Drosophila melanogaster: one gene and its partners. The protein of the gene in region 2 interacts with the protein of the main gene of each other region in a pairwise test. Each region holds a gene or a part of one and is shown on either strand. Other genes may lie near its edges.

Region 1 (9,913 bases), on a different chromosome or scaffold from region 2:
GCAACTTTGTTGCGCATCCGCAGAGCCACTCGTTCGCAAAGACTAAGAATTTGGGCGTCGGCAGCTGTAAATTAAATGGTATATTACTGATTATCTTAGCAAACATGCATTAGCATTAATCTCACCATTCCAAGTGTGTCCGTTAAGTGGATTGATTTTGGGTCCCATTTTGTCTAGGGCTTTAGCATCTAGAGCGGTTCCAAAAGTATCTATGAGTTCGTTTTGATTTGGCCTTGCCTGATCCTCAAACTTCTTCAGCCACAACTGACGTTCGTAGCCATCCGTCACGGTTTCTGAGGAGGATTCATTTGCGTTTAAGACCCTGAGAATGGGTTTCTGCTCCTCGTGTTGCTCAAAGCTTTCCAGCATGTTTTCGATGCTGGTAGGGTTGTCCAGCGGATGTGAGGATCGTGGTGATTCTGGATTGCTGATCGCCTCCCTAGTAGTCAACTTTGGTTGGCTTGTGGAGCTAGTGCTTACCTCACCACTGGACTCTCCTCCATCGATGATCCAGTCAAACTTGACCGGCTTCGGCTTAGTGGGATAGGCAGTGGAATTATGAATTCTCTCGTTGATTTCGGTTGTGCTGACTGCCACAGTTGTCGCAATGGTTGTGGTGGTGACATTCTCCTGCGGCTCCACAACTTCTTCCCCGTCAATAATCCAATCGAATGGCATCTTACGCAGTCTTTCCGTGGTCCCAGTGACTTCAGTAGTAGTTTCCTGCGGCTCTACCACTTCCCTTCCGTCAATAATCCAATCAAAAGTTATTTTCGGCAGCTCTGTGGTGACAATGATGGTTTCCGAAGTGGCTCCTGTCGTCGTGGTCGCCGCAGTTGTTGTCGTAGTGTTGGTGGACTTGACTTCCGGCTCTACATTTTCCTCTCCGTCCAGTATCCAATCGAATGACAATTTTCGCTGAGCGGTGGATTTCGTAGTTTCCACTGGTCCATCGGTAGTTATATTGAATACCAATCCGTTTTCCGTGGTGGGCACGTGATCACTGTTAGTGTTTTCCGTGTCAACTATTGGCTCGGAGGATGCCGATGTGGTGGTTACATTTCTAATGATTCGCTGCCCTGGTCCCTCGGTTGTACGTAAAATCTCTTGGGGCTTGTCAAAGTGATCCAGAATCCAGCTTATTTTCTCTGTAGTGCTCTCCACAGTCGTTCTTTCGGTAGCGGTTGCATCTATTTTTGTGGTTGTAATTTCGACCAATTGTGTGGTGTTCCAAGGTGCCTTGGTTGTTTCCTTCTTGGGGGCACCATCTGTATAAACTGGACTCTCGTCATGATCGTGCCCATCGATGATCCAGCTGATCCTTGAAGGCTTAATCTTAGTCCTCGCTGGCTTTTCAGTGGCATGTACCGCAACCGTTGTGGCCTCTGCAGTTGTCACCTGAATCAGGTCGGCCGGTGAAAAAGTACCCTTCTGTTCATGGGACTCCATGCTGCTTGATTCCAATTTCGGCTGCTGCTCCCGCATAATGGCCTTCATCTTCTCCATTTTCTCGGTCACCTCCTTTGCCATTTTGTACATGCGCAGAAAGGCGGACATGCAATCCTGCGGAGTATGCTTTTTGCAACGCACAAACTCATGCTCCAACTGGCTTAGGGCTTCTCTTGCCCTTTTACTTCGCAGCTTGGTGTACAGGTGCTGCATATTGGCCTCCATCCGGACGGGATCCAACAGATCCAACCCATGCAAATCACGCCGCATGCGGTGTTTCTTGTTCAACCGGAACTTAACCAGCATTTGCCGCATATGCTTCCTTCTCCTGTTTTTGCTATCCTCCATATCCTTGTTCATATCCTCGTCGAGCAATTTGAAGTGCAAAGTTTGAGGACTCACAATCAGGGCAGACTGATCCTCCTCAAAGGGCTGGTTGAAAAGCACCTGGTGCCTGGCATTCAGCGCTGCAATCTGCTGCACTTGATCTTTAAGTAATTTATTAGTTATTATTACTCTTATTATAACTCGTTAACGAACTTACCAATTTTCTCCACCACTAGCCCGTGGTAAACCAGAGAAAATAGCAACACGATGATGACCAGAATCGAGATGGCCACGATCCGTTTGCCGAATCCAATGCTCCACCAACGTCGCGGATGCCGAAGCAGCCTGGTGGCCTCCATCTCTAAAGAATTCCGTTTAAGAAGATTAGTGTAACGAAATTTCTTAACCAAGTTCAATTATGGATTTTTTGTAAGCCAATCGCTTAAGTATTAAACTGTTTACATACTTGTATGTTTATTGTCTTGTTCGCAGTTTTTATAAAAACTCAGTCTACATACTTTTATTTTCAACATACATAATTAAACACTTTTTATTATTTATTGTGGTCAGCACTTTCTGGCCTGTTCAGCACTTTTGCAATAATTTTTATAATAATGCTGATCCAAGTTCAAAATAAAATGGAACTTTCGACCATTTTATGGAATTCACTTTCTGGCTTAAAATGTTCACAGACGTGGGTGAAAATATTAATTGTTTTTGGCCTATTTTTTTTTTTGCCAACGAGTACGGAAGTTATTTTCAAGATTTCAAAGTAACACATACCATCCATGTTGTAATTCATTATTCATAAATTGATTTATCTTCTGGATTTTTCACTTAAGCTCTGGACATTTTTAACACATAAGCTTTTACGCCACAAAATCGCTGATTATTTCTTTCAATTATATGTTAAGCACTTTGTTAAATTGGCCGGGAAACAAGGAGCCTCAGGTTACAGCGATTCACTCAAACAAAAATCCACAAAAAGCAATCGCAAAGCAATTTGATATGCACGATAATCCAGAACGGTAATAATCACTACGATGACGACTTCCGCGCGATCCGGCCGGTAAAGAGCAACTGAATCCGACGGTGGTGAATGCGCCGCTTATAAGGGCTTCCGGAAAGTGGATCAGCGGGCAAACGACCCACATCCAGCGGCCACTGCTGCACTTTTCTGCTACGTTTCGAAGTTTATGGTTTTTTGGTTAATGAAAAGCGGCCCGGCAACTGCGGAGGTCAGCTGAAATGGCCGACGAAAAGTGCAAGTTGAAGGGGATTTTGGAATGGCAGAGCAACGAACCAGCCGCCCACCACCTATGAAACCAGAACTGTAAGCTAAGCAGGCCCAGCATTAATTCTCAACCCTGTGTCAGAAGTTTCCAAATCAGTTCTTTCCCTTTTTTTTTTTACAAATTTCGTAAAGCGCATAAAAATAAAAACATTTTTCCACACATCAAAGCTTTGACCACGAACACTATTTACCGAAAAATATAAATAAAAAACAAAAAGAAACGGTAGTAAAACAGAAAACACATGCATTCTACTTAGAAAATCAAATAAAATTGTTTATCAAAATTTTACCATCAGACAGAATGTAAGTAGCAGCAGCGCATGAAACGTGCAGGAATCGAGTGTCTTAGCCAGTTTTCCCATGAACCCACAGAACTTCATTAACAAAAATTGATGCGCAAGCAAAGAAAGTATATGCCCTCAAGATCCAGCCAGTCATTAGTCATTGGAGGAACCAGAAAACAAACACAAACACAAGGACCTTCCCACGGCATGCGCATAGAGTTCCTTAACATATTAACCTTTATCTCGAGATAACAAACATGATGTGGACCAGAACGACAATCGCACTGCGCAGAATTGCCAGGTCGCAAAGGTAAGTAACAAATAAACTCATTTCATTCAAAAAGGTATTAGTTACTCATACTCATACACCACCTTGAACGACTAATTATTGTGTAGGTGATATGTAGGTAAATGATGGTGATGAAAGATTAATAACAATAGTGGCCAGTTAACAATCAATAAACTGTGCATGAAAATAGCTTATGTTCTTTACACTTTCAACTTTTATTAAAGATAAATTCAGTTTTCGATCTATATCAAGCCAATTAAGGATTCAAATGGTCAAGAATATTTATGATGATTAAGAAATATGAGAATTTACTGAACAAGTGAAAATGGCACATTATTCTTAGCACAAAAATTATAATAGTTCGTTATATCTTCGATAATATGCACATATCGATGTGAAAAAATTAATGTATGTTATTCTTGTTTGTGTCATCTTAGTCTTCTACTCTAGATGATTCAAATGATAATACCTATTTCAGTATATTGAGATTAAACTTGGCGTCATCGCTGAGATCTTAGATCTTGTCCGCTCCTGGCGGTATTTTGATCAAGGACTGAGCTTCGTACAGCTCCTCCAGCAACTTACGGAATAGCTCGGGGCTGATGTTGTTGCCCACGCGCATCAGCACGAACCAGTCGCCAAAACTGCAATTGCGCAATGCCACCTGCAAGTGCTTCTTGGGCATGAAACGTGCCCTGGCACGAAGCAACTGAAGACGCATTCCGGGATACAAAACGGTGGCCAGGCGGTACAGAAACTTGAGGGAAATGAGCATAGCCACTAGTATAAACCATATCCACAGGAAGGCGAAGATTTTCTCGTTCAGTATATTCAGGGGCAGCAGGCAAAGGTAGTCGTATATGTTGGAAGAACCGCTGGGGCCGCCCTTGTACATCTCGCACTTGGCACACTTGGGGAAGACTGCCATGGTTATAATGTTCCACTGGTTATAGTCGCCATTGTAAAGGGACAGCAAGGCATTACGGTAGCGGCCCCAAAAACCTCCGAAAAATACGTCCAACAGAAGGAAGTTTAGAATCTGCGGGGTTGCAAATAATTACAATTTTTAGTAATATCGTAGATTATTGAATTACTAGTTTTGGTCACTCACACTGATGCTCAAATTGAGTATTTCGCAGAAGACGTAGCTAACGAAGTAGCGGAAGTGGGTCTCTTTGTAATCGCTGGAGAAGTAGTTGACTAGTACGCGCAAATGGGTCCTGCTCTTGTCCTTGCAAACGGCCATCTTGTGGAAATCATCGCACAAATGCTTCAGCCGACCGCCCTCCCAAATCTTCCAGAGAAATGCTGGCATATAAAACACAAACGACTCGAGCAGCAATACCAGCACGACCCACTGATAGTAGGTTATGTAGTTACGATTTTCCGGGGGCACTACCTTACTAACCGCATCTGAAATGAAGAATCCGTGCTGAACATGGGAATCTTTGAAGCATTTCCAAACTCACCTGGTCGGCACTGTGCAGCTCCATTCCTTAGGGGCGTCACAGTCACATTGTCGCTCACATAGGCCCCGTAGATCCAACAAAAGGCGTGCACGTAGTCCATATCCTTGTCCCCAAAACACTGGATGGGATCGCCGAAATATTGTTTCGAGGAAAGCAAAAATGTGCAGGCCAAAAGCAGGGCCACTGTGACTTTGGAGTGCAGCGTGAAAATAGCATCGTAGATGTGCACCGACTTGAACTGCAGATACTTGGAGAGCGGTTTAACAGCTGCGTACATGATGGCGTATTTATTTTATTTAATTTCGGGCGTAAAACAAAAATTTTGGGGCGGTTGTAAAGTTTGACGATTTAACTTGTACCAAAAGCACGCGGCATCATAACGGTTGATGTATACTATGGTTGTCTCTTTCTTACTCACGCCTGGGAACCTTACGTACAAACCGCAATTTCCAGCAGCCAGCTTTTGGCAGGCACTGATTTCGGCTGGAAAGAAGTCAGATTTGACGAGAAAATAGCGGGACTGCCAGCTCTGTTGGGGCTAAAAACTGTTTTTACCATCTGGTAACACTAGCACGTTGCACATGTTAAATCTTCGTGTTGACAAATTGAAATCTACTGAAAATCGAGTTAATTTAATAAAAGTTGCGTATTTTCGCCTGCAGCTTGAACGGTAAGCGCTCCAGGATGAAGGAACATATGTCCACCAAGCAGCACGAGCGCAACGAGAAGAAGAAAAAGAAGCTGGCGGCCCTGGCGAACCTGATGGAGCTCAACGATCGCGATCGATTGCACGAGGCAGAGTTGGCCAAAAAACGCGATGCAGAGGTCGAAGTGGAGGAGAAGTCAACAGCGAAGGCGGAGGACGGGGACGACGGTTTCATCGTGGTGGGCAGCAAACGCAAGCCGCGAAACCGTCGTCAAAACAACGAGCTGGAGGCGGATTCACAGACTGCCCCAGGAACATCAGATCCTGAAGAGCCGGTGAACAAGAAAATCCGCAATTACGATGCTGGTGGAGATAGCCTGCCGCTGGAGATTGGCTCGCTATCCGAGGATCAGTACAATCAGTTGTCGGCAGAGTTGAGGCGTCGCAAACGGGAGCTGGAGAACGTACCGGCCTTGCGACTGCGTGAGATGGGTCAGCGCGCCTCCCTGGAGACTCCGCAAGATGCTCGTACGCCCATCTTTCTAACCGACATCCAGAACCTGTTGATGTGCGCTCTCATTGGCCAGAAGAGCCCCTGCCGTCCGGATCGCTGGTGCAGCGTGGAGAAGTGGCTCAGTCTGTCGCACAGTGTGGTGGTCATTCTGGAGGGACTATCTCTCTACCACTATCTGTCTAACGAGACCCAGTTTGAGGCCACCAACAGGATATTCAGCACGAAGCTGGAGATGATACTTCCACCGCAGGAGGAGGGCCAGAAGATTATCGACGAGATAGCCAAGGTAGGGCTTCGTTGAAACTGTCTGTTTGCCTAATAATATATCCCTTGCTCTTGCAGATTCCTCTCACCAATGCGCAGGCACGCAGACTGATAGACGAGCACGGCTCCCTGGAGTCGGCTGTGGAGCTGAACAAAGATCCAACTTTGTTTGTAAAGACAATCTTTCCAATCGAAAGCTCTAAATCTGAGTCGGATGACATGCATGAGGATGACAAGTTCCCACGCACTAAGCTCCTGCTGTCAGCGCTGCAAATGGTCGACGAGGGCTATCCTATTCCATTGCAGGGCGAGCTACACACTCGTTTCCAAAACTTTAAGTTTACCAAGGATCTGTATGCACCGGTAACCAATCGCAGTCCTATGTTCGGCGTTGATTGTGAAATGTGTCACACGGAGGCGGGTTGTAACGAGCTAACCCGAATCTCTATTGTCAACGAAAATTACGAGACCGTTTATGAAACGCTAGTGTTGCCAAATAACCGGATCACCGACTATCTAACCCAATATTCGGGCATAACCGCAGAAATTATGGAGCAAGTGACCAAGAGGCTGGATGTTGTGCAAAAGGAAGTGTCCGAACTGCTGCCTCCAGATGCCATTCTGGTGGGGCAATCTCTAAATTCTGACTTGAACGCCATGAAAATGATGCACCCGTATGTAATTGACACCAGCGTGTGCTTTAACACATCTGGGGTGCGACGACGCAAGACCAAGCTGAAGGATCTGGCCAAAACCTTTTTACAGGAAATTATCCAGGAGAACATCGATGGTCACGATTCCATTGAGGATTCGCGAGCCACGCTGAAGCTCGTCAAGAAGAAGCTGGCAAACAGCATCGAGTTCGGAGACCAGATCCTCACGCAGCACAAGCAATTACAGGAGTTGGCGAACGCATCCAGCGGTGATACCATATCCAACAATCTGTTTGCACATGTGGCAAAGCGGGATAAGCGCACGGCCATTGTCACGGTCGGCGAGCTGCAGCCCCGTCTAAAGGAAGTGATCGAAAAGGCGGGAGAGGCAGCGCCCAAGGATCAAAGTACGTCGGTGCATGTCCACGAGGTATCTACGGCCAAGGAAGCCATTCGGAAGGTCAATGAAGTTGCACTGGAAAATGCCCTGACAATTGCCAACCTCCGCGTGCCAGAGCAGGACTTTATATTGGACAGTGCACAGCGGAGTGTTGCCAAACTGGACAAGACCATTGATCGCCTGTGGAAGTCAGTTGCGCACAACGGACTCTTCCTCGTCATCATGGGCGGATCCACAGAGTGCTCGAAGGGTGTAGCCAAAATAGCCATCAAGCGACTAAACGGATCGAATCAGACTATGGAAAGTTAGGGAGCTTTTAAGAACCTTACTTATGCTAACCGCCTCCATGGATACCCGCTCCCACTAAGGTCCTGAGTGTTGAAATCCAGCAGATAAATCAAATTTACCGTATCACACTGAAGACATGACCAACAGTTGCATTACCATACACCTGGGAAATGTCCTGCATGCATGAGTGCATCGATGAAAAATTGTAAAATTAAAAACAAATTCGATCAATAACGAATAATAAAATGTACATTTAATTTTTTTCACAAAATTCCATTGGCTTCTGCATAGTTGTATTAAATTAAATGAGCGGTAAAAATTATTATGGATTATTGTATAAAGAAAAAACTATACAAAAAACTAATTATTATTGATTCCATTTTAAAATTTTCTGAAAGGGTCAACATAATACATGGTTTATTGAACCGTAAAAACTGTTCGTGTCCGCAGGCAATTAGAAATAATTCCAGTATCCGTCCGATACATTTTCCGGATGGAGCATTCCAAACTGGCTGCTTGAATTTGACCCAGTTTCGTCTGGTTTGCATTGCCCGATATATGTGGCTGGTGGTGCTCGCTGGCCAGGCGGCTGTGTTGATAAGAGCCACAAATTTCCTACCTCCCTCAATGTGGTGCTCCGTTGTCTAGGGCCCGGCCCGAAAGCCCGAACTGGGCCTCCTCCCTAGAAGCGCCCACGCACTCTCGCTCTCCCTGGCTTTTTCATTTCCCTCTCTGTCGCTTTGGAAAGGGAAAGTCCCCGCAGCGGAGTATCTGTGTCTTATCACACGCTCGAAAATGTTGCGTCTTTTTTGGCTGAGTACTCATACGACCTGTAGGTCGTGCTCAAAGTTTCTATGCGCATGTCCCGCCGCAAGAATTTTCTGAGAATTTTCCCCAATTCCGGTGGAATGTTGCCAGACGGCTGGTGTTTTGCCATCAACTGGCAGGTATTTTCAAATATTATAACATATTTAAGTTCGACTTATGCCTTTCCGGGCCGAACACAATTGAAACTGAAGATTTAAAAGCCCTGGTCAGGATCACTAACTCATATGGTGCCCATATTTTGGACATGGACCAGTATGGTGGCAACGCCAGCCCGGGAAATTTGGTATGTTTTCCTGCTGTCTCGTTTGTTTTTCATATTTTTGGCTTGGCGCTCTTCGTACAAATCTTGTTGTATATACGCTTTTTGGCTCTCGAGCGGAGACGTCGTCGTCGTTGTTGGCTGCCTTTCCCAATTCCGTTTGGCACGAGGCGCGCAAAACTCTCGGATCGGATCGCATCGGATCGAAACGGAAATATATACGCGAGTATCGGCGGGGCTATATGGCCAAAATATCTGTATATATGTATCTGATTATTGGCATAAACAAATCGGCGTAAACAGAATTTGCATTAAGTTTGAAGATTTTGACATCGAGGCGGAAGTTCATAGTTATCTCAGCTGAAAATTGGCGAATAAATTTCGAAAATCGAGAGTTGGCCCATCCGACAAATTCATAAACTGGGGTAAGTCTCTGTGTATAATTAATCAGAATGCAAAGGAATGAAATGCTGTATACAAACAGAGGCGAGCAATTGGCCAACATAAATTGTGTATCCATAAAATACACAGACACTGGCGAATGAAAGCCTGTTCAAAGGAAAGTTTTCCGACTCTCTGCGTCTCTGTGTGTGTGTGGGTGTAATTATGCGCGTGTATGGGTGTATGGAAAAGTCGTTCACTGTGTCAGTGTTTCATTGTATCATCAGCTGGGCATCCATCGCGCATACGCCGCATTGTCAATTGTTACGAGCACTCACGCCCATTCCCCAGCTTCGCCCTTGGCACCAACTGGTTGCCCCAGCGCCAACCGACCCCAATCCCCGCCAGAAATCCCAGAATCGCGCTCTTGATATTGCTCTATTGGCCCATGCCAAACCCCATGAATTTAGCAAAGGTCTCCTCTTTCTTTTGCCAGCTTTTGCAAATTTGTTTCAACTGTTTGTTCCACTTTCATTCAGTGGCCACTCACCCTTTTGTTTTCCCCGCC
Region 2 (7,367 bases):
TGAACTATACATTTCAAGTGAGTGACATATTCTTCAGTCTTATTTAATAGAACCAATTATCCCAGCCGGCCCGACTGTGGTGAATATTCTCGTGCGTCGCTTAGGCAAGCCACTATGAATGAATGTAACGAAATGTAATATCAAAGGGGACCTTACTAGCTTATACTCTAAACCTTACAACTAGTCCGGTGTAACATTTCGATTCGCCAAACGTCGTGATCTTCTCAGGGGCTTTTTGTCATGATCCGAGCTATGTGATCGCTTTACCGGACGATTGGCGTTGCTGCGGCTGAAGTTGTTCAGGTGAACATGGGTGTCCCACTGCGTAGGCAGTTGAGTGTGCATTATTATTCAGAGGAATATTACTCATATTTCGATGCTTACCGAGCCAGACACGATTTCTGAGCGATCCGGATGCCAGTCCAGATCTCTTATCACAGTCCTATGTCCTTCAATAGCCTCTTGAATCTTACCAGTAAGTACATCATAAACTGTAAGAAAATTGGATTATTTTGAAAACATAATATGTTTATCAACGGAAACACAGAAATGGCCTTTGGTTTCACAACCAAATTTTTGATGGATAGAGAATTTCTAAAAATACTTGGCGAACTTACTGGCTAGAAAATGTATTTTAGATAGCCTTGTGAAAGAAAATCAGAGAAATACTGCAAGATAAAGGTGTGAACTCACTTATAATACGTCCGGTGGCACAGCCTGTGTAAATGTAGCGTTGCCCTGTCTGCTCCATGGGTGAGAACTTCGCCCGCAACAGGGTTTTGGTAACTCGGTGACCGCGGTAGGTCATTATGCTGGAGTCTCCTTCCAGTGGCTTATGCGGATTGTAAACTGCCGACAAGATAGGTGGGCGTTAAAAATTTTCCAAGAATAAAACGGGCACGAGCTTACATTCCCGCGGAACGCGGTTCCATCGGTAGTCCCATGTGGTGGGGTCGACTTGCTGTCTAGAACGACTGCGATTACGCATATTGCTCGGCTGCCTTATGTCCCAGATTTTGATGCTTTGGTCTTTGGAGTTGGACAGCACGTGGTAGCCGTCGTTGCGCGAATCGATGTAGGTGATGCCATCGTAGTGGCCGATGAAGGATGCCACAGACTTGGACAGGTCCCGTGAACGGAAGGTGGTGCGCAGGTCGTAGACCTTTAGCAGGCCGTCGTCACAGCCGGCGATTATCACATTTGGATCCTTATCGTGTAGGAAGCACACCGAGTTAACATCCTTGCCGGGCATGCGGTGGGTGCGCAGGATCTGTGTGTTTCTTGTGCGAATGTCGGTCACGATGACCGTGGAATTGTTGCTGCCCCCGATGATTTTGTCGCCTGTTGGCGAATAGCGCAGCGAGAAGATGGCCAACCTATGGCTTGGCAGTCCATTGACATCGATCCACTGGCAGTCGTCTTCCCCCCCATTCACGGGCATGATGAACACTGAAGGGGAAAACAACTTAGTGTGGATAAACAGATTGGGCGGAGTACCTACATGAGCGGGACCAGGTGCTGTAGGCGAAGTGCTCGCCATTCGGACTAAAATCCGCATCGATGATGCTCCACTCAACATCGCGGGCTCGGATGCGATTCAGCAGGTGATAAGTGCCCTTGGCGCCATCGTAAATGCGCACAAAGCCATCTGGAAGGGGTCAAAATCGTGTTTTAATGCCAATCGGAAGCGTTAATCATGAATGCTGACCTTGACAAGCGGTCAGCAACTTGCTGCCCGAACGATTGAACTTGGTCACAAATATTTTGGATTCCAGCGACATCAGGCGTGTGGCCTTTTTGTTTGGTATGTAAAGATTGGATATGTAGCGCTGCTGGTTCTTGGAGAACGATGCGCTGTGCGGCGATGCCAACCCATTCTCACGCTGCTGAAGGGCGTGCACCAGGTTCCAGCGATTGTTCGGATTGCTCACTAATCCACTCGACGCCTGGATCTCCTTGTACATATCAGTTTTCTGGAAGATTGCGTGGGCAATAAATTACTATTAATTGTTATCTGGGGACGGGGTATTTCGTCATTACCTGAAATTTAACTAGATCGGGCTTGCCTCGTATAACTGGCATCTCGCTGCTGCAATAATCGGAGCGCAGATCCATGGCGTTCACCGTAAAGTTGATCACGTTGAAGCCCAGCTCGTTGTCCGAAGAATCAAAATCGTCGTCTTCATCGCTATTCATCTGTATAGCCAATTGGTTCCCCATAACTTTTTGCGTTTTCCCTTTTGCACTCTTTTGTTATTAATTTCAACCTATCGTTTCTTCGATAATTGTTGCAGCCAGTGAGACCGCAGGTGAAGAGCCTGAAAATACCACGATGTTCAAGTTCAAACGTTGAACACCTATCGATCTATCGCAGCAGATTACGAACAAAAAATTGTAAAACCTTTCTATATAAATATTTATATAAATTAAAACTATTAAAAATGCTAAGCTGAAATGATAGTTATAGCAAGGAAGTGTAGCCGAGGGCTTTATAAAAAAAAACAAATGAAATTATAGATTTTCCAACGGGGACCAGAGTAAAATATTTTTAACGATTACTGGAACTCCTAGGCTGATCCGTGGACGGCTATCGATAGTAGTGGTGGGCACGCGCAGTTGCCTTTGCGAAGCGAGCTTTTTGGAGCTATGTAAAAGCTTTACCCCCAACAAAGCTCGACTCAGAGCGGATTCCATTCCGCGAATAGCAAAGCAACTAGTCTCAAATCGATCGTGATCGCGCTCGAGCCGAACGGAAAAGAAACGGATCGAAAAGAAAAGCGGCTCGAAACCTGTGCTAGTGTGAGTGAACGCGTCCGTGTGTGTCGTCGTGCTGTGCTGATTGTGTATGAGTGGTTGTGTTTGGTAATGAAATTTTGTTACATTCCCAATATTCGAAACCTGCTGTTCGGAGAAGAGACTTTTGGAGGCACAACAAATAATGCCGAAAATGTGATAAAGCGCAGAATTGGAATTCCGGATTCATGGACCTTGCGAACTGAACAATCTGCTCTCCCCTTTTTCTATGCCTGTGTGTGTGTATGCAATATGTGTGCTTGGATCTCGCTGGGGCTATCGCTCTGTGTGTGTGTGTTTGTGTGTCGGTGTGCGCCTGCGTGTGTGTAAAATTTATGATAAATACTTTTGCACAAAGCGCGCCCCTTTGCAACCAGAAGAAGAAAGTTGTTTAGCATATATGCGTAAAAGTAATAGAAATACACATAAACGGCAAAGAAGTGTGTCAAAAAGGGCCTAGAATAAGCACTCCATGTATCGCGTGTGTATAATCTAGGCGAAAATAACAAAAATAATAGCGATGCTGGGGAAATAATCTACGGAAAAACTGGAACAACCGACGCCGCGGCTGCAGACACGAAAAAAAAGTGAAAGATTGCAGGCTGACGTTTGAAGTCGAAGCTGGGCCTGCGTCACGGCATAAACACACACATAAACCAATACAAACGCAAATAGACGGGGTGGGTGGTTGAGGCGACACCACCTGTCATGGGCGCTGGTTGCACCCGCCCTCCATCCCTTTTAACTACACGGGTTTCGTATGTGGCTTCCAATTATTGTGGCTTGCTCATAAATTATTTTCGGTGTTTGTGCTTCTAATTTATTGCCAGCGAAATGGGCGATTTCTAAAAGCAATTCATTGTTCCATTCAATTAGCGACTTTGAAATTGGCACAGCAAAGCAAGTACCTTGATTTTTTCAAATTTGCCCAACCAATTCTCACACTTTTCAAGAACAGTTAAACGTTTTTGACAAGTACTTTTGTATACTTTAAATAGTTCGCCTAAAAGTAAAGCGAAATGGGAAAACAGTTTGAATTTTATAATGTTTATTAATTTAACAATTATTTAAGTTCATCACATTGAAATTATCTGCCTTTATTTCCATAATCTAAAAAGGGGAATCATTGCCCTGTTCGACTTGTTAGTTATTCACATTAGTGCCATTGTCACATTTTAAGTTTATATTTCTCCCCTCATATCGCTACTCTGCAGTGACGCAATCATTTGCATCTTATTTTAATTCCTATGATTGTTTCACTGCCAGGCGGAATAACCAGTTGCTTTTTGTCTTGTTGTTTGCTGCTTGGCTGTTGTTTCTTTGCATTTATCAAATCTTTGTATCTGGCTTTAATGTGATTAGCGGTGGCAATTATGCCAATTCAAGTTCATTATACTTGTGTTGCTGCTGCAGCAGTTTACTGTTATTATTGGTATTTATTTAATTGTCATTGTTAGCGTTTCGTTAAGCAATGCCAGCGATAAGGGAAACGACAAAAACAACAGCAGAGATACCACATCGAAACGAAAGACTTAGGCAACGAACTTGTTCGCCCGATGCAAATGCTTCCGAGTGCTTATCAATTTATTTAAATGTCTCGATTGCAAACAATTGCCCGCGCAGAGCAACTTTCGTTTTTGTGACTGCTTCTCGCGTTTGTCATTTTATTTTGTATGTTTATATTCCATTCGCATGGCATTTCATCCGCATTGAGGTGGAAAAGAAACCCAAAGCTGGCACGGAGCACAGGCATGTGTGCGAAATTATATGCGGCATCTCGGGTTACCTGCAGTCCATAGCTTCTTAGTCACACCCAAGTGGCCATGGTGGCATGATGGGATGATGGAACGATATTGTGATAGGTGATGTAAGTCGCACGAGGCGTTTTGTCAAAGCCGCCCCATCCAATTTGCAGGGTCTTCGCGGCTATCCACGTATTCATGTCCATTACAATTATAATTACACGCTAATTATGTCAGCCGCTAAGCGTAATTGGACCATTCAATCACACCGATTATGATCGCATCAACAGATCAAACTGCCATTTTTGTCGCTCTCGATGTGGGCGTTGTTGATTGATATTCGAATCGATGCGGGGGCTATGGCCAAAGAGCTAGACGAGATTGTGGACAGGTTAGTCATCGATGGAGCTTATGGTCTTTAAGGGCACAAATCTCCCGCTCGTCTTGATTCACACATCAATTTGTTGCCTCACATTCGATGTGGTCGATCAAAAGGCAGACCTCAAAAGCGGAATAAATTTTTATTCACAGCCAATCAAAATAATTTGGTGTTACAAAATGTCTTGGCGGCCTTCGCCGCATTTGCATTGGCGTTTTCCCCTTTTCCATTTCAATTTCTTACCATTTTCCATTAGTGCTGCAGCTGCAATGTGGCATGCAATCCACAGATCAGCAACCTTCGATGCCGCAACTGGCGCTAATCATAAGGCCTTGCCACCACCCATTCCCCAACCGATCCCCAACCACCCACCATTCATCGCCCGGACTCAACGTTCATTAAACTTGAAAAGAAAGCAAAACGATGACTTTGAGTTCGACTGCGGCTTTTGGCTTTGTCTGCGCAACTGAGCCGCATTTGTTTTAATTTTGGTCAGAGCAACAGACGCCGCAACAACAATGATTTCAATTAAAGTAACATGCACTTGCTCGCACACACTTACCTTCACACAGTCTGCTTTTCCACTTCAATTTAATTGTTGTAGCTAGACAAAAACCGAAAGGAAACCTGCCAGTAACAATCGCGTCAATTAATCAAATGGAAAATGCAACTTTTGTGCCGCTGCCAGGCGGCAGTTGCAAGTTGCACGAGCCAGTTGTACGACGAATGCAGCAACTCAAGTTCAATTGTGGCACGTTTGGAGCAATCTCAAGCTCGACTTCCCAAGCGAGGTCAATGGCAAGGCGAAACGGATTTAACCCTTTGCCGCTGAGAAACGCCAAAACTCTTGTCCACCGTGTCCAGTTAATTAAGATTCATTAATAATCTGCCCATAGCCAAAATAAATGAAAGTTTTGGCTCGCATCATGACAAACGCCTGCGCAGAATCAAAATTTTTGTTTTTTGAACCCTGATATGGTATATGGTGATGGTCGAAAAATCTTATCGCAGCCCAAATAGGAAATTTCTATCTCCCACTCAGGCAGTAATCATCGTTTTCGGTCATTTTCGTTTCGGACAGCTTCTGCCAGCTGCGGACGGATGACGAGGATGAGCGGATGAGCGGATGATGTCGCCCCCAGAACCAGCAACTGCAAACTCGAAAAACTAGCAGAATATACTCGTAAATTCCGCGCCAAGTGAAATTGAAAGACGAAAAGAAAAGTGACAAACTCAACAGGTACAGGTCCACCGAAAACCAGTCGGAAGCTGCCACAGAAAAAGAAAAGATCCAGGAGGAATACATAGACGCCAAACATTATGTATCGGCCAAATTTCTACGAGTCGACTTGCCTGCGCTGCAGCGAGACAGTCTATCAGGTGGATCGTGTGGGGCCACTAAAGGATTTCACATTCTTCCATTCCGGTTGCTTCAAATGCGTACACTGCGGCACAAAGCTGACGCTCAAGACGTATTTCAATAATCAGCACAAGCAGGATGACAAAGAGGTAAGTGCCACCACAAGCATCGCCGCAAGCAGCGGCACACGAGACAGACGGGGACGGACCGACAAAAACGAAAGACTTAAGCGACAAACGCGTCAGTCTAAATATTTGCACAGCTGCAAGATGCAAAAATGCAATTCGAACGACACTTTTTGTGTTTTTCTGCCTATGCATAATAATAAATAACTTTGTTATTGCACCTTGCCGAGGCGCAAATGTGTGTCACTGCGGTCTGTCATACATATGAAATATATACCTATAGACTCACTTATGTAGTGTGTACATATATTCATGTACAGTGCGTTTCGCAGCTATGCGGTCAGCCAGTAAGTCGGGGGAATCATATAGCTTTCATAAGTATTATAAATTATTTAAATGAAATTTATTTAAGGAAAGAAGATCAATTAAATGGAAAAATCTATGAAGTATTATGGTGACAATATTATGTTTTATATGGTTGAATGTATGTATTTTCCATCTAGCAAGTTAAAAATTTGTATTAAATTTGTATATAATATATGTATTTAGTTCCTTGACCTGCCTTAAAGCCACAAAACGCACTGTATTTGCACTGCAAAGGTCCGTGTTCGTTATTGCATATTCTATTGCCACCTGCTGTGTGTAGGTGAAGTGGTTAAAATTGCATTTGCAAGCGACTGACTTTTGGGGTCTGCTCACGCACTCAAAGCGAAACCCAATAAGGCTAATGGTGTGTTTCGATTTGGACGCTAGATATATGCATTCCAAAAGTGTTTTAGTTGAAAATTCCTTTTTGTTTAAGGAAATTTTAATTGAAGATAATTATCGGTGCCCATTAAGAAATCTCATGGCTTCAAAATAGCAATTAGATGACATGATTCAGAAAGAGCATTCCTTTTTTTCTAGATGTATAATGAAATGAGTAATGAGGATTAAATCTTTTAATGAATGCAGTTTAGTTAGTTGGA
Region 3 (8,790 bases), on a different chromosome or scaffold from region 2:
TCATTTCACTCCATTGCAGGGTAGATTTATTAAGGGATTTGTTGAATGCCATGCTCAAAAATAATATATTGCTATATTTAACATTTGGAGCAACAAACTTGGATGGCCAATATCAAAAATCAATGCCAAAATGTAAATGAGCTAACCACCGCAAGCCCGTTCGAATAAATATATTCAGAAATCATGCAATTTCCTGGCCAACTTTGCAGCGAATCTCCATCAGAAAAAAAGCATCAACTAAAAAAAAAACAACAAATTCAATATATACGCAAATTATTTTCGCTGTCCGGTGGCGAAAAACGCAGAGCTTTGGAAAAAAATATATGCCAATTGTGGTGGGGGGTTTGAGTTTGGTTTTATGTCCTGTCGGCCACGCACAAATCTGATGACTAACTCCAGAGTTTTCTGACGTGTTCGACACTCCCCTTTAAACCAACTTGCCAACTTGCGTGTGCTCACTTAAAGCCACGAAAAGTATTAAAGCCATAGAAACTTTTTTATTACACTTGCCTGGCGAGGGGGAGGAGCATGTGACGTAATAAAAGTAAGAAGTAGGTTTTTTAAACAAAATTTAAATGAAATATAATTAGTGCGGTTTCAAGCTAACAAAAACACAACACTTAATTAAACCACAATTTTCAGAACACCTTATTCAACCACTAATTTGGGACTGATAACTAACAGGTTTATATAGACATAAGAAGAAAACGTAATAATAAAAACAATAGCCGCCCCCCTTGGTGCTTTCTATATATTTTCCACAGACAGCCCACTGCGAGTGTGCAATAAAATTCATCATACGCTACGTTGGCCCCTTTTGGCTGGGAACAGGATGAAAGTTTCGCACGTTGCTCCGTGTGCTGACCCGCATATGAAATTAGAGGCCAGCAGAAACCGAAAAGTTGCCAAATCTTTGTTGGATTTAATTATGCTTAAATGGGCTTAGCAAAAACTTGCCATAGAAGCAAAAAGGTATTCAATAAAGGTGCATGCCCATACATGAGATCTAAAATGAAATTAATTGAATTTCGAACAAAGGAAGTTTAATTTTGCCACATTTGACTACTATATACATATGTATATGCCATATTTTGTGGACAAATGCTGTGTTGTCCGTTTTGCCGTTTGCTGTGTGAAAATTATTAAATCTTGTTAACCAGGAGAAACAGGATAAGAATATGTAAAACAGTTAAATATATATTTTTTAAAATCATGCCAATGGGCAAATTGCATAAATGCAAACACATAAATCCCATTAGCGGCTATAAAAGCTGTGCATACATATAGCCATTTGTAGAGATTAAATATGCATTTTTACAGCGATGCCTGTGCGGCTTGACATCAGCTGCATTTCATGGCTTTTCCAGTGGAACAGATGCCAATAATCCTAGTGCTAGTGATGGGGATGAATTCGAAAAAAAATACAAAATTTATTTATTTAAAAAAATGTTAAAAAATATAAAAGGTTTTACACTTGAATAAACCAAATGAAGTTTCTTTCTAAATATCATAAGTATTATTACATAAGACATAATGAATAATGAATATAGTAATATTCAACAATTTGATTTAAGCGAGCATTCATTTCTCTCAGTGTAAAATAACAACAAGGTACCGTTAGCAGCACTGCCTACCTACACGGGGACAAAATGGCCACCATTCGCATTTCCGCTTGCGTGTGCTGTGTGAGCACTTTGCCTGTTGCGCTTTCTGGCCTGCTCTTTGATTGCATTTCATTTCTACTTTATTATCCGCATTCTGGACGGCTCCTGTTTTTTCCATTGGCTCAGCAGCTTTGCTGCAAATTTCATTGAGCCCCAGCCCGGATGCAATGGACCATAAAGGTGCAGCGGCGGGACAATTGGCAGCATTGGGCCAAAAGGCCACATTGCCACACAATGGGGAGTGCGGAATGTTGGAATGTCGGATTGAACAATGCGATTGAAGGCTGAAATTCGACGGGCCGTCTGTCAATCAAAACATCCTCGACGGACAGAGATAGACGTTCCTGTTTGATGCAAAAATATTGGTATTTCAAAGGTAATGTTAAGAGTAGTCGAGCTGAACGGCCATACCAAAAGACATATATCTGCTAAACCATTTGAGTGAATTAAAAGATATAGTATATATAATTTTTTGCTATGAGGAAATATATGAAAATGGCGAAACAAGCAAGACTTCTCTTATGTATACATGTAAGTTTTTGTTAGTTGCTTACCTGTAATTACTTCTCACGTAATGAAAACAGTGTGTACTTATTTTTCTGATTGTTTTGTTCCACATCCTGGAAAATCGCACCCTTAAAGGACCCCAAAAAACATACGAATGCCCCAGGCCATTTACCGAAAACACAAATGATTTGTTTTTCTTAAATTACACCATTTTTCTGCTGGCAACTATAGCAATTTCCGAAAAAGTAACTTGCTTATTCATGCAGGTTTTCGCGACTCTGAAGACAAATGTGCGTTGGAATATAAAATGCGGTTATTATTATTTTCTGTTCTGAAGCGGCGATTGTTGGGCAACATGCTGCTAATGTCTGGCGCAACAAGAGGCTGGCCACTTGTTGCTGGTTGCGAATGTAAACAGAGAAGTGTGTTTCACAAATTCTCTCTTTTGTACACCTTGAAAAATATTTGGTGACCGTTCACAGGGCGGATGAGTAATACTCGCTCTGCTGGCCACAATTTATGACGTTTGCCCCTTGGCAATGTAAGCTGATAAGCATTATAAAGTGTGAAGTCAACTTATCTTTGGCTACGGAGAAATCTGTGCACACACTGCCACTATAATTTATGGGATACCCATATCATGGAAAAAGAATTCGCTCACTTAGGCATTTATTTTAAAATATGTATCCTTTATTCTTTATTGCTCTTCGGTTGCATTCAATCAGCTTTCGCATATATGGTATGTTGTACACAAAAAATACACAGAGATATATAGTTAGAATAATGTGGATTTAAGTAACTCCATGTTGCACAAACTTCAAATGCATAATAAAGCATCAGCTTTAGTTGCATTTAACAGTTCGTGTTGCACGATTTTAATCGGTTTCTTTTTAGTTTTGAGGCGACTTGTTCTTACAATAAACTATTCCATTCTTCAATTTGAAATACACAGCGAAATGCAAACAACTTTCTTAAAGTTAATTACTCAATTGTTAATCTGTTTGAAAATGTATGTTAAACATAGGCAATGGCATTAAGAACCAAACGACTGACTGTCTGACTGACTGGTTGGCTGACTGACTGACTGACTGGCCTAGTGACTTGACTTGGTTTTGACTTGACTCTCATTGAGGAGGACTTAGGCGAAAAATGCTCTTCATCTGCACACATTCCAATTGCAAATAGGGTATCAAAAATACTTATCATGGCTTTACATTACACTTTAGTTACAAAAATATTTAAAATTTAATACCGTTAACAAAAATACTTGACGATCAATTACACTTTTGGAAAAATTCGCTTACACTTTTGGAACAAAACTAAACTCATTTACAAGGCATGTTTGAGGGAAAACAAAAAGCGTATGATGTATGTTGTAAGTTGTGTGTCGTGTGTGTTTGTTGTGTGCTGTTCGGTGTGCCAATTAGGCCCAGTCCTTTTTGATCTCAAAGGTCCAGTCCCACTCCAGGTGTATGTGCTTGTCGTCATCCGTGAAGACCGAACTGACCGAGTAGGTGCCGCGGGAGAATGTGCCTGAAGGTGCCTCCTCGGCGGGCGTCAAATAGAACTGAATCTCCTTCTTCGGCGGATAGGAGCCAACCATATGCTTCATCTTGTCAACTATGGAGTAATGCGAAAACAGTCAGTTTAGTAAGGATACACATTTGCGGATGGGCTGCACCAGCTTACCCACAACTTAAAAAATTATACATTCCGAAATTAGGGTTTGGCATTGGAGATAATGGAATACAAGTTATTCTCAACACATGACTAAAGTTAGTATGGCAATTGTGAAAAAAAGGATATAGGCAGCACTGCAAAATCCCACCAGTATGGTTGTGCCATTGAACCAGCTTTTACCCATTGCTAGAAACAAAACTCGACTAGCCCGCACAAAAGTCAATCAAAAACTGAGGTGTAATACTAACGATTTCGCGTCAGCACGGAAAATTGAAGACCTAGAAGTGCTCGCATAGTGTAACGTATGGAAAATAACTAAAAACAAGTATCTTTTGACCCGGTTTTAATTTAATTTTATTCTTACAATACTAGGGCACTAGGTCAGTAAATAAATAAATCAATTAATAGAAAATTAGGGTAGGACAAAAAAGAAATATAATTGCTTTGCCCTAAGTAAAGACATATAATGTTGATAGAATTGAGAGTGTAAATCTATTCTATATTCTGCCAATTAAAAATACAAATGTCATGTTTAAATACTCACCATTAACACCCAAGCGAGAAGTCTTTTGAACATACTTAAGGCCATGGACTATTTCACGCTGCACAATAAAATCAATGCGCACCTTGTACTGAACACCTTCTTTGATCACAAAAAGCTGTCGCAATAGGGTTTTGATTAACAAAAGTAGTCGAATGGATGATGATGGTTAATGATATTTACCTGCTTTTTCAGCTGACTAAGGTCACCGGTAAGATCCAATTCCATGTCGTCGCGTCCTTCGACAACGAGGGCCAGTTTCTTTACAATAACTTTTCGGGGATCATTGGGTTCTGGGTAAAAATGTTATTGCTTTAGTATATTCTGCACCCTCCACTTTCAGAGGCCAAGTTAACCGCCCCTTACCAACAATAATTTTCTCGGTCTGGGCGGCACCCAGGAGCGCCTCCTTGTAGCGCCGCAAGCTCTCATCCTCCTGATCGGCGGCCATTATTTCCTCGATGGTCTTCTCCGGCGGCGCCTGGTAGTTGGCATCGTGGACATCGTCGTCGTGGTGCTCGGGATGGTGCTTCGTCTCTGTTTCGGCCATGATTGCTAACCTAGAACTGTCCAAAGGCAATTGTTTGTTTATCAATCAATTACATTTAAATATTGCTTCGGATTTTGCTTAGTATGCGTCGGTTTCTCTGGGTGAAGCTTGTGGGTCATAGGCATATTTTTAGTAGTGTGAGTAACATTTTGACGATAATGATGTTGTTTTATACACATATGTATATGCCTCCATTTTAATGGCATGTGCGCCACCATATCTGCTACATCGTATCGGAGTGTATGAAAGTATTCCTCATTCAAAAAATGTAGGAAGAGTGTTTTTTCTTCTGAAAATTGTCGCCCTAAGGAGAGTTGAGCTCATAACTTAACAATGCAGGGAAGAAATTCGAAAAAAAAACCTGCCATCTAAATATATAGTTGAGTAGTTAGTACATTTGTTTCTACAAATTACAATGTTAAATATTGAAATTCAAATAACAACGATCGCAAACATATTCCATATACTTCGCTACTGATTACGTTATCATTCGCTGGCCATAAAGCGGGTTTATTTACTTTTTTGGCAACACGAGTGCCTCCGTTGCGAACAAATGTAGCCACTTCATAAGCCCGTTCAATAATATTGATTAAATTTCAATTATTAACGCATTGATGAACTGACGTGTTCTCTGTCTAGGGGGCGGGGCAGAGAGGGGCGCTCGACCTGCAGCTGGTCCGCTCGCAAAGTAAAAAAAAAGGTTCAACCAAATACGGAGCGGCAGTTAGATAAGGCAGGCGAACTCGACGGAGGGAGAGAGAGCGGATATCGGCATTGAATAATATTGACCAGAACTGGGAACTGGCGACAAAAAGCCAAACCCACCGCCCCCCGGAAAATGGCTTTATTGTTATCTTGCTTTGTTTTCCACTATCTAAATACACGTCGCCAGCTCTCTGTCCATTTTCAACGAATGTTGTTGGGCCAATAATAATTCTCGATTCTCCAGATTTGGCTTTATATATATGTACATACATATGCAGTGTACCCGGGCAAAAAAAATACATGAAATTGAATTGTTATTACTTGACATCGAGTTGTTGTTGAGGTAATAAAATTGTGTCTATACAAAACGATTTTGCAGGCCCATGTGTACATACAGTAGTAATAATGATGTATTTCTCAATTTTATACAAAACATATTTTGAAATTCTCAAAGCTAATAAATATTTATCTATCTATCTATCTGTTTTTTACTTGTAAATGTAAATATTATTGGTGCTTAAAAATCAATAGTTTGAATCTTAGTATCGGTTTTTAGATCTCATCGTAATATTTCCAAATTAGGCATATGAAAAGCACTCACAATTTCTCTCCGTGCTTGTGTGGGAATGGCAAAAAATAATAAACAAAAAATTTTCGGACTAACAACGCAAGTTTGGGCCAATAAATACAATCGCAACAATTAAGGATGGGTGAGAAAAGGTAATTTCAAGAACAATCTGACCGAACTGAAAATTTGAATTCCAAACAAATGTGCCAGCGTCGAAGGAAGTGCAAGCGAGAGGGCTTGCCAGAGAGAGAGAGAGAGAGAGAGAGAGAGAGGACCCCCCGCCAAAGACAAAGTGTGGGGATAATTCAGGGAAAAGTACGAACCATGCCACTTTTTTTTCTTCTCTTTTTTTGATAAAGAAATGTGCACGAAGAATGTTAAAACCCCAGACGAATGAATCACACACACCAGCTCACACACACACACACTCACACTGAGGCCGGCACATGAATCGTCACTGATTTTCAAGTAGAATTTTTGGGAGTGGTTCTTGGCCTGCAGTCACCCAACTACATACATTTGCTATCAATGCCAGCTTGTATTAAATTAATATAATAATATTATAAATATTTTTTTTATGTAAAATGCATTGGAAGGCACCGCACTCACACACACACACAGTTGCAAGTTGGCAACGACGCGCACTCACCTTTTAATATGCGAAATTAATCAAATAGTACGATCTCTGAAAATTAATCACTGAAAAGTAACTGTATGTTATATTTTTAACAACTTTTGATAACTAACTTTTAAACAAAGCAAATAATATAAAATAAGAATTACAAGTGTGAACGTATGCTTTGGTGGACAGAATACCAAAACGCGAGATGGACTTGAAGAAGTCATCCGTTCACACTGCTGTCCAAAAATACTTGCTTTTCGAAAAAGTTTTTAGTTTTGAAACAGCTTCCCCTAAATCTATTTTATACTTTGTAAGTATGGGTTTAAAAAGAAATTATTAATTAGTTTAACGAATCTTGCTGAAATGCAATTTCTAATAAGAATCGCTGTTTGGTCATTGTCTGCAACAGTCTGGCAACGCCGACAAACAGCTGCTTGTTACTTCATCGGCGATTTCGGTGTGCAAGTTGAAAAACACAATTTACTCCGTTAATTTACAATGACATCCCAGTACCTGAGCCAGCTAATAACGGCCGACAAATTGTCCGCCGAGCCCTGGCCCGAAGACGCCACCCTCTACCAGGTAAGGTCCTGGTTTATAGGTCCAGAATCTTCACTAACATTAACCTTTCATTAATGTGCATTAAAAAAAACAGCCGTATGAAGCGGAACAGATCCTACTGCCGGAAAACGCCAGTTGCCTTGCTGTGAAGGCTTACCTGAAGATGTGCAACCTCCCCTTTTTGATTCGGTCCTGTGCCAACGCGGAGCACATGTCGCCGGGCGGCAGGATGACCAAGTTGCCCTTCATCCGCGCAGGAGCATTCATCTTTGCCGAATTCGAGCCGATCGTGAACTTTGTGGAGCAGAAGGAACTGGCCATTGGCAGCTGGCAGGACGAGGACGAGAAGGCCGACATGCGCACCTATGTGTCGCTGGTGGAGAACATCTTCACCATGGCTGAGCTGTACATTAGCTTCAAGAACGAACGCGTCTACAAAGAGGTCACAGCGCCCAGGAACGGAGTCGTTTTTCCCTGGCCCCTCAATCACATGCAGAACTATGGAAAGCGGCGGAACGCGCTGCGTCTGTTGAAGGTCTATCAGTGGGACGACCTGGACATCGATAGCGTCATTGACAAGGTGGCCAAGTGCTGTGAGACGCTCGAATACAAGCTGAAAGAGTCGCCGGAAACGCCATTCTTCTACGGCGATCAGCCCTGCGAACTGGACGCCATCGCCTTCGGCCACCTCTTCAGCATTCTGACCACCACGCTGCCGAACATGGCGCTGGCCCAAACGGTGCAGAAGTTCCAGCACTTGGTCGAGTTCTGTCGCTTCGTCGATGAGAAGTACTTTCAGACGAGGTGCCTACCAAATTAGTTATACGTAGTCGTTGCCTTAAATGCTTATCAATTAAGTTGCTCTTGTCCTTTCTTTTTAACCGCTTATATATGCAATTCTAAATGCCCTTAAAACAAATCGTCGCCGTAAGTCACAATTATTTTGCTACTAGCATTTAAAAAAAAAAGTTGTTCTAGTGATTTTGCTGCCATTAATGTCCAAAAATCCATGTGAATATCATTTGCACAAGTGACTCAATCTGCAAGTTTGTTTAAATGGAATTCTAAAATACTTCTAACGATCTTTACTTCATTTATTTTGCAGCAAATAACTTTTCTGCTAATAAAATTGTGTAAGTATTTGCTATAATACATCAAATAAATTGTTTTCTTAGCAAACCAAAAAAAAAAATAGTCTTGATTTTTGAACATTGCTGCCTTTTCCTTTTCATACTTTTGAAGAAATTGAACTCTCGTTTATGTAAAGACCTTAAATACACATATAGTTTTATTGATTTATTGTTATAATTAATTTAGATTATTATTATGAATGCAATGTACACATCTTTGCATGCAGATGGCCGAACCAATCGCGCCACTTGTGATATTTGC
Region 4 (5,761 bases), 3.6 Mb from region 2:
GAGATAATAACAATATTACGCTACTTACTAATAAAAACAAAAAACAAATAGTTCATAAAGATAGATTAAAGAAATTTCATTCATGATTGAATTTAAACTTATATTTTCCTTAATCATTTATACAAATTTTCCATACACTACGTATATTTTTATCTTTGCATTATAAAATCAACTATTGTTGTTCAAACAAAAACACAAACAAAATAAAAATAAAAATAAAATAATTTGCATTTAATAATCAAAATAACTTCACTAGGTTACGTTATTTTTCAAAAGGAGGGAGATGTAGTATGTGCCTATGCAATATTAAGAACAATTAAATAAAATAGCATATTAACTTATGGCAGCACTTTGTTGCTATGTTTATGTTTATGTTTATGCACGCAGTTAGGCCAGGGCGGATGTAACATGATCACCCACTCGAAGGCAAAAAGTATAAGTGCATGGTCAGCATTCACACGCCGACCAAATACATATTACATACGTACATACATATCTCGCTCTCCCGATAAGCCTAGATATATAAGATATACATAAGAACGCCGCTCCGCTGCTGGCGTACCCGGCAGCGCAGCTACGCGGATTAGCCTAAGTCCAAATATATAAAAAACTGTAAAATCAGAGAGACTCAGTAGACGTTGAGCTGACAGAACCATTTCTGCCTACTCTAAAATCAAAAGAAGAAATTGAATAAATATATGTCAGCCCGACGGCTGCCTTCAACTTAAAACGGACTTGTGTTCTTAATTGGAGTTCATCATTACAATAGAGTTCCACAATAAAATGTTCAATTTATTGCATTGCGAATGTCACTTAAATGCATTTGTAATTTGTATGCACTTCTACACATAAAAACACTCCTTAAACCTAACAGCTAGCAATCGGTAGGTGCCTCTACAAAAAAGCGTAGAATTCTCTTTAAAACCTAATCCTATAGAAACTTCTGATTCCTATTCCTGAGCTTCGTCTCTGTCCCTATCCTTGTCCTTCTTCTTCTTCTTTTTCTTCTCCTTTTCTACTGGCTCTGCCTCCTCCTCAGCGGCTTCTGGGGCTTCCTCGTCGCCCTTGTGCTTCTTTTTCTTCTTCTTTTTGTCCTTGGAAGGAGTCTCCTCGGATACCGCCGCCGCAGCAGTTTCCTCAACGCTGGAGGTGCTTAACTTGCGCTAAAGGAACACAATTATTTAGCAAGTGAATACCATGTTAAACTCATTTTCAATAACATACTTTGCTGGGTTCACTGGAGCCATTTGTGGGGGAGACTTCTTGAGCTGCTGGCTTCTTGGCATTGTAGTCGACATAACCGGTCAGCCACTCCTTAGGTGTGTTTTCATTGGGCCTTCCGAACTTGTCTAGCTTGCCGGCGGCAATGAGCGCCTTCTTGGCCGACGCCTTTGGTCCCAATCCCCACTTGCGCGGGTATGTGTCTCGCTCCATGATCACTCGCTTGATCTTGGCCACCACACCATGGTCACAAGAGGCCATAGTGGCTGTGGTCATGAGGGCGATGGCCAGGCAAATGGCCTCACCCTTGGTGGTGCAAATGACGATCTCCTGATCGATTTCAATGCCATCCTCGTAGCGCAGGACACCGGGCAATGTAATCTTGGCACCATAGCAAACGGCGTTGACCTGGAGAAAGATTGATGGTTGTTAGTTGATATCATAAGGGGGTCCTTTGCTAGAGGAAATGTCGACCGAATATTCTTTGTCGAGCGCGCAGGATAAGAGCGCTGCCCAACATACACACATCAGCAGCTTTGCTGTTCCCAATCATAGTCACAGGTGCCCGTGGGGATTGCAGGCACCTGCCGGCTTAATATCATGGGGTACTACTTCGCAAACGGCAACTGGATGTCAAACTTACCGAACTGTCCTTCATAATAATGCGCTTGTGGTTGACCAGCAGACCTTCTAGCGGCTTGATCACACGTCGCAGCATAGACTCGTCCTTGTGGTTTTCGTACAGCCACATGGCGTCCAAAACATCGTGCATGGTCACCATACCATCGCGCTCAGACTGAATGCCCGAGCGGACACGGCGGAGCTCCAGCATCTGGCCACCGACACCCAGTACGAGACCAAGATGGACGCACATGGTACGGATGTAGGAGCCGGCCTCGCAACTAACCCAAAAAACACCTGAGCACGTGAGTGGGCAGAATTGGAGGAGAGAAAAAGACGAGGTTTTAACAATTACATTGTGCATTTGCTGTGTTAGGCAAATACTGGTGTTTCACTGGCTGAAGCAGGCTGCACCTCTGCAGGATAAACTAATCCAGCAGCGACGCACCAACTCTGAGCGAGAATGGATAAACAAAACTTCTGACTTACCCATATTTCGGGTTTCATCGTAGTCCAACAGCTTGCTGTCGTAGACAGTACGAACGCGCAACTGACGCTTTACGGCGGAGATGAGTGGAGGTCTCTGGAAGAGGGCACCACGCAGCTTCTCCAGGCCCTGACGCACCTTGGCCACCGACTCCACGGCTCCGTGCAGCTTGAAGATGGCCACGTACTCCTTGCCGGCGCTCTGCTGGGACTTCACCAGACGGGTGGCCCTGTCAATACAAACAATCAGGCAACCTGTAGGAAAAAAAAACACGCGGCACACAATGAGGTTAGGTTTGTATGGCGGTAGGCGAGCACGCGCTTCACTTACCCGTGACTTTGGGATCCAGCGTGCCGGAGTGGCCTGTCTTCTCCACCTTGAGGATTTTCTTGATCCAGGCCACCACCTCGTGGGAGCTGGGGTTCGACGGCTTGTCCAGGTTGATGAAGCCAGTCTTCATGTACTCTTTGATGTCGCGGTTCAGGGGCGACGATCCGTGCGCCAGCGGAGTGTAGTGGTTGGAACGGATGTTCAACTTGTCGAAGTTCTTCAGGAGCAGCGGCCATTGCGAGGTGTCCAGCTCGGCGATCTTGGAGGAGGGCTTGATTTGGAAGTTGCCCTGCTTCTGCAGCGTGCCAATGTCATCGCCGTCCAAGGGCTCCTCCTTGATCTTCTTCTTTTTCTTCTCCTTGCGTACTTCTGCGGGCGCATAGTCCGTTTATTTGGGCACTCTTTTAATTCATCACTTGCCAGACTTACCCACGTCGGCCATTTTATCTACGTTTTCTGCTAAATCAACTAATAGACGGAGAGAAACCTCCGCACGTGTTGCGCGCTGCGAGAAAATGGACGAAAAACACGTGGAGTGCGCGGTCTATCGATAAGTGTGACTACACAGAAATGTATTTCATGAAGACATCGATACATAAATGGAAATCTTGCGATATGTCATCGTGAGCCGAATTCCTTATTACAATTTTGAATTAAAAATATGTATTATTCATAAACAAAATGAATTTAAAGGTATTTACTTTGACGTAAACATTTTTAATCCATTAAAGCATTATTTAATTGAAAAGATATGTTATGTAAAACTGATACACTGTTTATAGTACGGTGAAAATGTTATGTCCTTAGAATCCACTTGTTTTTGCGATGAAAAGTCATACTACCCTACTTTTTAACTGACGCGTGCAAGCTGATTGCATTTGGCGGGATTTTGAAAATCAGAAACTGCTGAGTAAAAAATATCGAAATATTGATAGTTCCAGGCCCAATCGATACTATCGCCAGTGATCTACCAGCTGTGTTTCCCAACCGGTTGTTTATTTTTCTAAACTCTTAAATTAAATTAAAGTAATGTCGAGGCGAGGACTCCTACTAATGGGCCAGTGCATGCCCTGCATCAAGCAGAACGCCTCCAAGATCCGCATTCGCCGAATGGAGCTGGACAAGAACCTGAATATGGTGTGCATAATATACATTAGATCTCGCCTCAGGAGATTTCACACAATTTCCCTTCTGCTCGCAGTACTTTAAGAAGGACGAGTTCTACTTCGCCCACGATCCGCAGAAGGTGTGCAAGACCGGGGACGTGGTCCTGATACGGGAACTGCCAGAGCGCCTCACCCGCCTCATCACGCACAACGTGGAAAAAGTGGTCTATCCGCTGGGTGACATAACGGACCCGCTCACTGGCAAGAAGGTGGTCGTGGGCAATTACCGCGAGGACATCGAGATGGCCAACCAGCTGTTCGGCAAGTCAGAGAAGGCCTTCGACTACGAGAAGGCACCGCCCCGCGGTCGCCTGGAGGGAACCAAGGACTTCACCCACGGGGAAACATACATCAAGTACCACGAGGATGGCAAGGATCAGCCGTTCGCCGTTTAGAGCTCTGCCGGTCGTTTATCTGTTAAGTTTCCCCTTTGTTTAATAGTAAAGTGCATTAATATGACGTACATATGTTTCTCGGTTTTCTTATAAAATGGTTAGGCCGACGAAAGAAGATATTTTTATAGGTTTTTGATTGCTTGAATTGAATTAAAAAGGCAGGTTTAAAAGATTTCTCTACATATTTTATTTTAATGGTCGATAGTTGTTTTTTTTTTTTTGCATTTATTGATGATTTGTTGTGTATACGTATAAATGTATGCATTTTCAACTTCCTCTCGCTGATCAACAGTTTTTGATTATTTAATTTTTGAATTTTCCTAATTCAAACGATTTTTCCGCGCCAGGTGCCAGGACACATCCGCAACACCGAAACGTGCTGCACACGCACATGGTTTTAGAGTTCAGATTCGGTCCGTGCCATAAATTAAGCTGAATACTAATCACAATCTCTTACGATCCTAAAGTTGTACTGGAGTATGGGGTTTGCCGGGTGAGCGTTGTCGTCGCACAGTTTTTGCTGCAACGAAAAGGAGGCTAGAGTCGCTGGATTTCGCGTTAATGCGTCCGGATAACGCACCTGCTCCAGGTCGTGGCTGGCGCGGAGCATAAACTCCCGTAGGAAGTAGCCGCGGGCGGGAAGATCCAGGGCCAGGCTCAGTTTGTTCTTGCCCTGCTGCTTGAGGATCTTCACCCCGCTGGTGGACTCGGCCTCGTCATCCTCGTTCAGCTGGCCGTTGGCACTCGGCTTGGCCTGATCCTCGTCGACGCAGATGGACCACTGCAGCGGCTTGTTGGAGCTGTTGGATATAGATGGTAATAAAATAAGTGATTGTAAAGAATTCATTAGGAGTCAATGGAACTTTGAATGGGTTCAAGGGCAGTATGATTTTGTATGTAAACACATACTGCATTTGTATCTTTAAGATACTTTAAGATCTTACCGAATTCGAATACATTTGTTACAGAATAATGAAATAAAGTGTACCCAACTAACCTCAGATGGAGCTCCAGACTACTGGCCTGCAGATAGCGCGATACCGGAACCACATAGCTGACATTGAGGGAACTGCCCGAGGTGGGACAGAACTGCTCCACGTCAATGGTGTGGTTGTACTGGGCCGCTAGGACGCAACTGGCCACACTCCAGCAATCCAGCTGGAAGGGCGGCAGCACGGACTCGTCGGCCTTCGGCCCCTGATCCTGCCCAGAGGCGGATTGCAGAAGGCGGTAGACGGGATCGTCCTTGGCTGCGACCACCGGTTCGGTCTGCTTCTTGGTCAGGGCGTCGGTGCCGTGTGAGCTCTTGCCCAGGAATCCCGGCTGGGCCTCCAGCGCGGCGGAGGTCTCATTGCCTATTGAGACAGCGGGTTGGGTCTCAACGATGTCCGGATCATGTTCCTGCTCCTCCGCCGACTGCAGATCGTCCTCCACGTGCTGCTCCTTCACATTGGCATCCACATTGTCTGGCTGAGGATGAGTCGGCGGCAGTTCCTCGAAGCAAACGGACTGGACAGGATGTAGAATAAGTACCTGGATGC

The links.
Region 1: the proteins of Hil (region 2) and Rexo5 interact in a two-hybrid assay, tested with the Drosophila melanogaster proteins (one large-scale study listed by BioGRID).
Region 3: the proteins of Hil (region 2) and RhoGDI interact in a two-hybrid assay, tested with the Drosophila melanogaster proteins (one large-scale study listed by BioGRID).
Region 4: the proteins of Hil (region 2) and mRpS17 interact in a two-hybrid assay, tested with the Drosophila melanogaster proteins (one large-scale study listed by BioGRID).

What each region holds. Positions count from the first base shown.
Region 1 is NT_037436.4:6,600,521-6,610,433, forward strand, and holds Rexo5 (RNA exonuclease 5), read left to right. Parts: upstream 1-3,163; 5' UTR 3,164-3,373; intron 3,374-3,442; 5' UTR 3,443-3,664; intron 3,665-3,845; exon of another isoform or gene 3,846-4,157; coding exon of another isoform or gene 4,158-4,682; intron 4,683-4,754; coding exon of another isoform or gene 4,755-5,056; intron 5,057-5,112; coding exon of another isoform or gene 5,113-5,389; exon of another isoform or gene 5,390-5,512; intron 5,513-5,658; exon of another isoform or gene 5,659-5,774; 5' UTR 5,775-5,796; coding exon 5,797-6,558; intron 6,559-6,614; coding exon 6,615-7,898; 3' UTR 7,899-8,219; downstream 8,220-9,913. Other genes in the region: ndl (nudel), read right to left, coding at 1-64, 126-1,937, 1,994-2,137, 2,560-2,578; zpg (zero population growth), read right to left, coding at 4,158-4,682, 4,755-5,056, 5,113-5,389; axed (axundead), read left to right, coding at 8,950-8,988.
Region 2 is NT_033778.4:20,613,562-20,620,928, reverse strand, and holds the start of Hil (hillarin), read left to right. Parts: upstream 1-2,711; 5' UTR 2,712-2,862; intron 2,863-5,995; 5' UTR 5,996-6,234; coding exon 6,235-6,423; intron 6,424-7,367. Other genes in the region: CG9945 (uncharacterized protein), read right to left, coding at 181-321, 385-491, 694-849, 910-1,449, 1,502-1,648, 1,709-1,973, 2,041-2,220. UniProt on the Drosophila melanogaster protein: May act as a modulator of septin function during cytokinesis in the developing nervous system.
Region 3 is NT_037436.4:19,926,983-19,935,772, reverse strand, and holds RhoGDI (RhoGDI), read right to left. Parts: upstream 7,031-8,790; 5' UTR 6,865-7,030; intron 4,959-6,864; 5' UTR 4,943-4,958; coding exon 4,759-4,942; intron 4,686-4,758; coding exon 4,576-4,685; intron 4,511-4,575; coding exon 4,396-4,510; intron 4,083-4,395; exon of another isoform or gene 4,036-4,082; coding exon of another isoform or gene 3,931-4,035; exon of another isoform or gene 3,861-3,930; intron 3,792-3,860; coding exon 3,595-3,791; 3' UTR 2,843-3,594; downstream 1-2,842. Other genes in the region: CG46462 (uncharacterized protein), read right to left, coding at 3,931-4,035; CG8004 (uncharacterized protein), read left to right, coding at 7,336-7,419, 7,493-8,218.
Region 4 is NT_033778.4:24,172,295-24,178,055, reverse strand, and holds mRpS17 (mitochondrial ribosomal protein S17), read left to right. Parts: upstream 1-3,614; 5' UTR 3,615-3,688; coding exon 3,689-3,796; intron 3,797-3,860; coding exon 3,861-4,220; 3' UTR 4,221-4,391; downstream 4,392-5,761. Other genes in the region: Nop60B (nucleolar protein at 60B), read right to left, coding at 951-1,163, 1,225-1,629, 1,865-2,139, 2,332-2,583, 2,660-3,028, 3,089-3,101; CG3328 (uncharacterized protein), read right to left, coding at 4,660-4,740, 4,801-5,020, 5,218-5,729.